2 linked regions of the Macaca fascicularis genome follow. The protein of the gene in region 1 purifies or fractionates together with the protein of each later gene. This does not show direct contact. Links are inferred from orthologs where the notes say so. Each region holds a gene or a part of one and is shown on either strand. Other genes may lie near its edges.

Region 1 (3,650 bases):
CCAACTCTGAGATGTGCTAACACTTACCCAGGGGTTCCACTAATTGGTCAACCAATCCCATTTTCTTTGCCCTGTCTGCACGAATGTTTCTACCAGTCAGCATCATGTCCAAGGCAGCAGGCACACCCACCTAACAGGCAAGCAAGGATGAGAGTATAGGGGGAAAGAAATCAGGGTGATAATTATATAGTTTACAATTCATCAAATGAACAAATATTAAAATGAAAAAAGTCAAACCATATGTTTATGCTATTTGTCAATAGCATAGATAAGTTATATTTAATATACTGATATACATTTGGGTAACTTTGGGGATTAGATACCTCTAGCTGAAGCAAAAATATCTTTATCTCTTAATTCAATATATAGGATTCTTATACTAATAAGGTAAAGAATTTCATGTTTCCTAAATTTGTACATTTCTGTTATTCTGAGGGTTTTTTTCCCTATCATTTATAAAATATTTAAAATTCTGGCCGGGCACAGTGGCTTACACCTGTAATCCCAGCACTTTGGGAGGCCAAGGCAGGTGGATCACCTGAGGTCAGGAGTTCAAGACCAGCCTGGCCTGACATGGTGAAACCCTATCTTTACTAAAAATACAAAAAATTAGCTGGGCGTGGTGGGGCACACCTGTCATTCCAGCTACTCGGGAGGCTGAGGCACAAGAATTGCTTGCATCCAGGACGCGGATGTTGCAGTGAGCCAAGATCACGCCACTGCACTCCAGCCTGAGCAACAGAGTGACTCTGTTCCAAAAATAAAATAAAATAAAATAAAATATAAAATAAAATAAAATAAGATAAAATAAATCATATTGAAAACAGCAAAGACTCTGAGAAACCTGATCGTTTTGACAAAGTCTTTAAAAAGAATTTTAAGCTTAACAAAAATAGAACTCAGCTAGGGCTGCTTATATGATATTAGAAGAATGGCTTCTAGTAACATTCAAATACCAGCTATAGTTCAAGAAAAAAAAGGAGAAAGAAACTCAACAAATATTTTTGATACACATATATGCATATTCATTCTTTCAATAAATCCTTTTGACATTCCTATGAAGGAAAGCACATTATTATTATTAGAAAATTACCACCATAAACCTTGTTTTCTTTTGTGCTCAACTGAGATCAACTTCCCTGCAAAAAGTATGTCTGTTGAGCCTTGTTTTCACTGAGGAATCTAGAGTGCCAGAAGCTACGAGGTTCAGTGGGCCCTTGAGTTGACATTAAGACTGCTCTGTAGCATCCAGGTCTGACTGTCCTTCCCTTCTCCTTGGAATTCAAAACCTGCTGAGCTTCTTTGGTTCCATAGGACACAGCAATAAGAACATCCAAATCAGATAATGAAGGAAAAGGTCTGTCTCTTATATTTATTATGAAATATTAATATGACATGGTTTTGAAAAACTGTTAAGATGGTACTATATGGAAAATGAACCAATTAAACCGTAAGCTCCAGAAAAGCAAGACATGCATCTTAGTTATCTTTATCCTTCCTCAGAGACTAACAAAGGACCTTGATCAATAATTCTGTGGAATTAGGCCAGGTGTGGTGGCTCACATCTGTAATCCCAGCACTTTGGGAGGCCAAGGCGGGAGGATTACCTGAGGTCACGAGTTCAAGACCAGCCTGGCCAACATGGTGAAACCCCGTCTCTACTAAAAAATTAGCTGGGTGCAGTGGCGCGTGCCTGTAATTCCAGCTATTCGGGAGGCTGAGGCAGGAGAATTGCTTGAACCCGCGAGGAGAAGGTTGCAGCGAGCTGAGATCGCACCACTGCACTCTAGCCTGAGCTACAGAGCGAGACTTTGTCTCAAAAAAAAAGAAAAAAAAAGAAAAAAGAAAAAAAAATTCTGTGGGATTGAAAAAATAAGACCAGGAATAAAAGTCTGTCATTGATCCTGTACACTCATATTTTATTTGGTTTTTTAATTCTACAATGAATGCCCATATTATTCATTTTATATACGAAAACAGATCTAAAGAGGGCATATAGGTTCACAAAGGGGATGTTAGACTCACCATTTTGGGCAGCCTTTGTGTGCCTCCTGCTCCTGGTAAGGCCCCCAGCAAGACTTCAGGGACACCTAATACTGTTTTTCTGTCTTTTGTTGCTATTCTGTATTGGCATGAAATGGCAAGCTTTGAACAAATGAAAGAAAATTAGAATGTTAGAAAATGTGACTTAGTAGCAACTTAAGATCGATAAGGGTCTAAAGATTACTTATAAAGCAGGAATGTGCTCACAGAAAAAACTGAAATTCCTTAGGCTGGCATTTAATAATTTCTAGAATTTACCTTTTTAGCCTTTTTTTCACACTTTTCCTCTAATTTACTAACCTCTTTTTGGGCTGTAGATCTCCTGAAAAATCTACTGAAAGCTAGAGAAGCTCTCAAGAGAAAAATGCACACACAATTTTATATGGACTCCAGGTTAAAAAGCCCCGGACTCTCCAATCAAGCACATCTACTTATGGTGTCCTAGTTGGCTTTGCTTTTGCCTTTGCTCACACCATACCATGTGTGGAATTGTTTTGCCCTCCATATTCTGGTTAATCAAATTCTGCTTATAGTTTAGGGCCAGGCACAGGTTTTCTTAATTAATATAGTCATGTGTCACATAATGAGGGGGATATGTTCTGAGAAACCTGTCATTAGGCAATTTTGTTGTTGTGTGAACATCGTAGAGTGTACTTACACAAACCCAAATGACAGAGCCTGCTACACATCTAGGCTATATGGGATAGCCTGTTGCTCCTAGTCCAGTGGTACCCAACCTTTTTGACATCAGGGACTGGTTTCTCGGAAGATAATTTTTTCCAAGAACTGGGGGTGGGGTGGGAGGGAGAGGTTTCAGGATGAAACTGTTCCACTTCAAATCATCAGGCATTAGAGGCCAATGGAGTGTGCAACCTGGATCCCTCTCATGTGCAGTTCACAACAGGGTTCCTGCTCTTATGAGAATCTAATGCTACTACTGATATGACAGGAGGTGGAACTCAGGTAGTAATGTTCACTCGCCCACTGCTCACCTCCTGCTGTGGGGCCCAGTTCCTAACAGGCTATGTCCTGGGGATTGGGGACCCCTGTCCTAAGGGGCTACAAACCTGGACAGCATGTGACTGTACTGAATACTGTAGGCAACTGTGGCACAGTGATAAGCATTTCTATAAAGAAATGCTTATCAGAAAAGGTATAGAAAAACGCAGTGTTACAGTCTTATAGAACCACTGTTGTATATGCAATTGGTCATTGAAACGTTATGTCGTAAATGACTGCATATGTGAAAGTGTCTGGCACAGAGTTCAGCGTGTGAAAAGTGCTCAATCAATGTTTTCTTTTCCCCTTCTTTTTTTTCCTACATGTTTGGGTCTAGTAAGCATCTCTTCTCTCAAGTCTTCTATTATTTACCAAATTTACTACTGACAAAGCACTTATATTATGCTTTGTGTGTCTCAACCAGACTTAAGTAGCTTAAGAGCATAGATCACACTTCTGAATCTTTGCCCTGCAAACTTGAACCAGATTTTTAGAATTCAAAAGGACATTAGAGATGCAGTTCAAATGAAAACATCACACCTTCGTTTACCTGCTCTGTGCCACTTGCTCTGTGTCATGTGGATTAAGGATTAAAACCTATCCAGAAG
Region 2 (3,650 bases), on another chromosome or scaffold:
TGGAGGGTGGGCACCCAGAAAGCCCTTGTGGGGCTTCTCTGGGGGCTGAGGAGTGGGCCAGGGCTGGCTGGTGGGCTCTGCTGGGAGTCCCAGCGGAAGGAGGCGGGGAGGAAGGCACAGGCTCGCTGCGGGCTCCAGCGGGTTGCTTTGAGGCCTCCTCTGCAGGCCTCAAGGGGCTGCTTCTGCAGCGGTGCAGGGAGCTGGGGGAGGGCTGGGCAGCCGGAGGTGCCCCTGAGGTCCCTGAAATACATGGCTTGTGGGGACACTGGCTCCCAGCTGACCTGAGGACCTCATACAAAATTAAAAGGCAGAGAGGCAGGCAAGGCCAGGCCTGGGGCCAGGGCCTCTGCACCTGCCCCTGCTCAGAGCTGCTGGCCCTCCCTGTCCCACCCCAGGCCTCTCCAGGCTGAGGTGAATTAAATATCGTCTGTTTTGTATTTTTGGCAAAGTCAGTCCTTGGCCTCTGTCCCTGGGGCCTTGGGGCAGTTACCGCCACCGGGGCCCGGCTACTGTAAGGGCCAGGGAGAGGAGGAAGGGCAGGAGGAAGGTGGGCGGCTGGGGGCAGCTGGCAGCCGAGGTCTTCTGCCCTTCCTGCTCCGACAGGCCTGGGAGGGCATGGGTCAAGGGCGTCCGGGAGCCGGAGCTCTTCCTGCTGGCCCCCCGGCCACAGCGATCATCTGGACAGCCATCACCGCTGCCCGAGCCACTGCCGTCGTCACCTGGGAAGGAGAGAAGGCTCCGGCAGGCTGGTCCCCACAGGAGACCCCAGGGCAGCATCACCCTGTGAGGACCCCACATGCCAGGTGACCCCGACATCCTTTCGGTGTGGAATCCCAGGACCAGCAGCACCCGATCCCCGCTGACCCTGAAGCTGGGAGACTCTCACTCCCTGGGGCTGCCTCCCTTGGTCCCTGGAGCCAAAGCTGATAGACATCCTGGCCAGGCCTCCAGGGGCCGCAGAGGTGCAGGGCTCGGTAACCGTGCCTGGGCAGCACAGTGTCCTGAGTCACTGTGGTGATGCTAGAGCAGAGGGCCCCTCGGGTGGGGGAACCTGGAGGGCAGTCACAGCCCTGCGGCACCCCCGCCATCCCTGGCCCCTTGCCCGCCCGGTCAGGCCCTGCTCTCACTGGCGTCCTGGAAGTCCACGTCATTGCCGTTGTAGGCGCTGCGCAGCCGGTTGGTCATGATCTTCAACTGCATGATCTGCTGCCGGATGGTCATGTCCGGCTTGGTGATGTCCACCTCCACCTCGGGGTTGTTGATCTGGTTGGCCAAGCCGTCACCCATGACCTCAGGGAGGTACCTGGAGGAAAGGCAGGCAGAGCCCAGGTCACTGCTCCAGCCCCTGCAAAGGGCCATCACCTGAGCAGGACACCCTCTCGCCCTCCAAGCCTGAGACCCTGGGCCTGAGATGCCCAGCAGGCCTCCAGGGACCGAGCAGAGCCCATGCAGGCCACAGAGAAGTGGGGCTCGAGCCCTCCAGCCAGGGACGTGGCCCTGTGCATACAGCACCCGGCCCAGGCACAGCCCAATGGAGACGGCATGGGAGGGAGGGCTGTGCCAGCCAGGCAGGCACCTACCGGCCTCTGGCCATCCCGTTCCAGCAGCGGTCATCACTGGCAGTGCTCAGGGCCATCTTCTCGCTGCACAGTGTCCCTGGGAGGCTGATCCAGAAGTCCTGGACGTCACGGAGCTGGGCCTTGGCTTCGGAGACCTGCCGGGCAGCAGTCAGGCCACTGGGTTGCCAGAGCCCGCCCGCCCCCACCTGTCTGCCTCCCTCATGCCTGGTCCGGTGGACCGGAGAGGGGCCACTCACCAGCTTCTCCAGGGTGCCTGAGGGTGGCCTCTCCCGTGGGGCCAGCTTGCCCCGGCGCCGCTTCTCCTCAGGCCCAGAACCCTGGGGGTTGACCTTGGGGTTCCCGCAGCCCTGGATGACCTGGGGAGACACCACAGGGTCCTTGGGGGGCAGCGGGGTCCCTCAAGCCCAATGGAGCCACATCCAGGACCCCCACCCCACTGTGCTCGTCATGTCCTCCCGCCCGCACCTTGGCCGTGAGCGTGTCCCTGTTGTCCTGGAGGGCGTTGATGGCCTCCGCCAGCCACGTGTGCACGCTGCCGATGACGCTCTCCACACCCGACGTGCCCCAGAACTTGTCGGTGATGAGCACCATGGAGTCTAGCACAGGCGTTAACACACGCGCACACAGGCGTCACCACGTGTGCATGTTAATGCAGTCTTAACAGCACAGGTCGGCATGGGAGATCCCGCGCACGCACTCGGGTTGGCCCATGTGATGTGTGCAGGCCACGTGCACTCAGCTGCACTCAGCCTGGCCCACGCCCACATGTGCACATGCGCCACGGGCACAGGTGGACACGCACACACGGAGGCCATTCTGCATGCTCGCTGGCCTGCCGTGTCTCATGTATGTCCACGCTGGCTCATGCAGGTGTTGACATGTACATATGCTGACTCACCTCGGTCCAGCTTGTGTGCACATGAGCCCATGTGAGCTGGTGTGTATGCATGCTGGCTCACCTCATGCCCCCCCACGTACACCTTAGTTCATGTGTGTGTTGCATGCATGGTGAGCACATGTACAAGTAAAGCTTATGCATTTTGTCAGCTCCCATCACATTAGCACACACGTGTTGGCTCCATGTCAGCACATGGTAGCACGTGTGTTGGCACAGATGCATGCTGTCCCACCTCATGTAAGCATGTGTACACGTTAGTGGATCTAGATAAGCATGTACATATTAGCACACACGTGTTGGCATGGATGCGGGTCAGCCCAGCTCATGTCATCACATGCACACAGGAGCACACACCATACTGGTGGGCACCGGCCCGCTGTGTGTCAGCAAGTGTGCACGCCAGCTTGCATGTGTTAGCCTGTCATGTGACAGTGCATATATGTGTTAGCTTAAGCAAGTGCTGGCCCTCCATGAGTCACATGTGTTGGCATGTATGCACAGTGAGTCACATGTGTTGGCATGTATGCACACTGAGGTGCTCACTGGGGAAGCACAAGAAACTACGACCTCACAGGGCTCCCTCCCTGGCAAGCTGCCCCAAGTCACACACCCTGGTCAGGGCATTCCTGATCAGGTCCCTGGGTCCAAGCCCTGAGCTAGGGACCACCCGCCCCCCCCAGGACCCCCGCCACACACTCCCCAAGACAGTTCCAGGCCGCTCTGGCAGGTGGGGGCTCACCCAGGAGGTTCCTCCACTCGGCATCCAGGTCGGCCTGGTTGGCGAGGCAGCCCTTGAGCACATTTCGGCAATAGTCAGGGCAGGGCCTGGCGCCAGGGACTCCCAGACAGTGAGCACAGTAGACCAGCTTCATGACAGCCCTCGAGCACTCTGGGCCCAGGGGGACCTGGGGAGCAAGGCAGCCTGAGCCAGATCCCAAGGCCCTGGGTGTGCCCAGTCCCAGCCAGCCTTTAATGGAGCCCCAGGGTGGGGGGCTCTGGAGGGAAGTCAGGGGAGGCCTGTGCTCTGCCCCAACTTGCAATGGCCCTTGCCTGACTCGCGGGCCTGCCAGCCCTGACGGCCCTCATTCTAATGATCTCAAGGGTCATGGGGAGGCACGAATATCCTCACCCACATGCTGCTGAGGATACCAAGGCGCCCCAGCCTACCTGGG

What was found.
Region 2: the proteins of HADHA (region 1) and GPC1 purify together in Homo sapiens (co-immunoprecipitation; 3 studies listed by BioGRID and IntAct, with this or other methods). This does not show direct contact. The link is inferred for Macaca fascicularis from reciprocal best matches to the Homo sapiens genes HADHA and GPC1.

The regions. Positions count from the first base shown.
Region 1 is NC_088387.1:96,011,953-96,015,602, reverse strand, and holds part of HADHA (trifunctional enzyme subunit alpha, mitochondrial), read right to left. Parts: intron 2,146-3,650; coding exon 2,026-2,145; intron 131-2,025; coding exon 28-130; intron 1-27. UniProt on the Homo sapiens protein: Mitochondrial trifunctional enzyme catalyzes the last three of the four reactions of the mitochondrial beta-oxidation pathway.
Region 2 is NC_088386.1:136,338,821-136,342,470, reverse strand, and holds part of GPC1 (glypican-1), read right to left. Parts: intron 3,384-3,650; coding exon 3,218-3,383; intron 2,177-3,217; coding exon 2,046-2,176; intron 1,937-2,045; coding exon 1,817-1,936; intron 1,715-1,816; coding exon 1,581-1,714; intron 1,304-1,580; coding exon 1,128-1,303; intron 720-1,127; coding exon 487-719; 3' UTR 1-486. UniProt on the Homo sapiens protein: Cell surface proteoglycan that bears heparan sulfate. Binds, via the heparan sulfate side chains, alpha-4 (V) collagen and participates in Schwann cell myelination.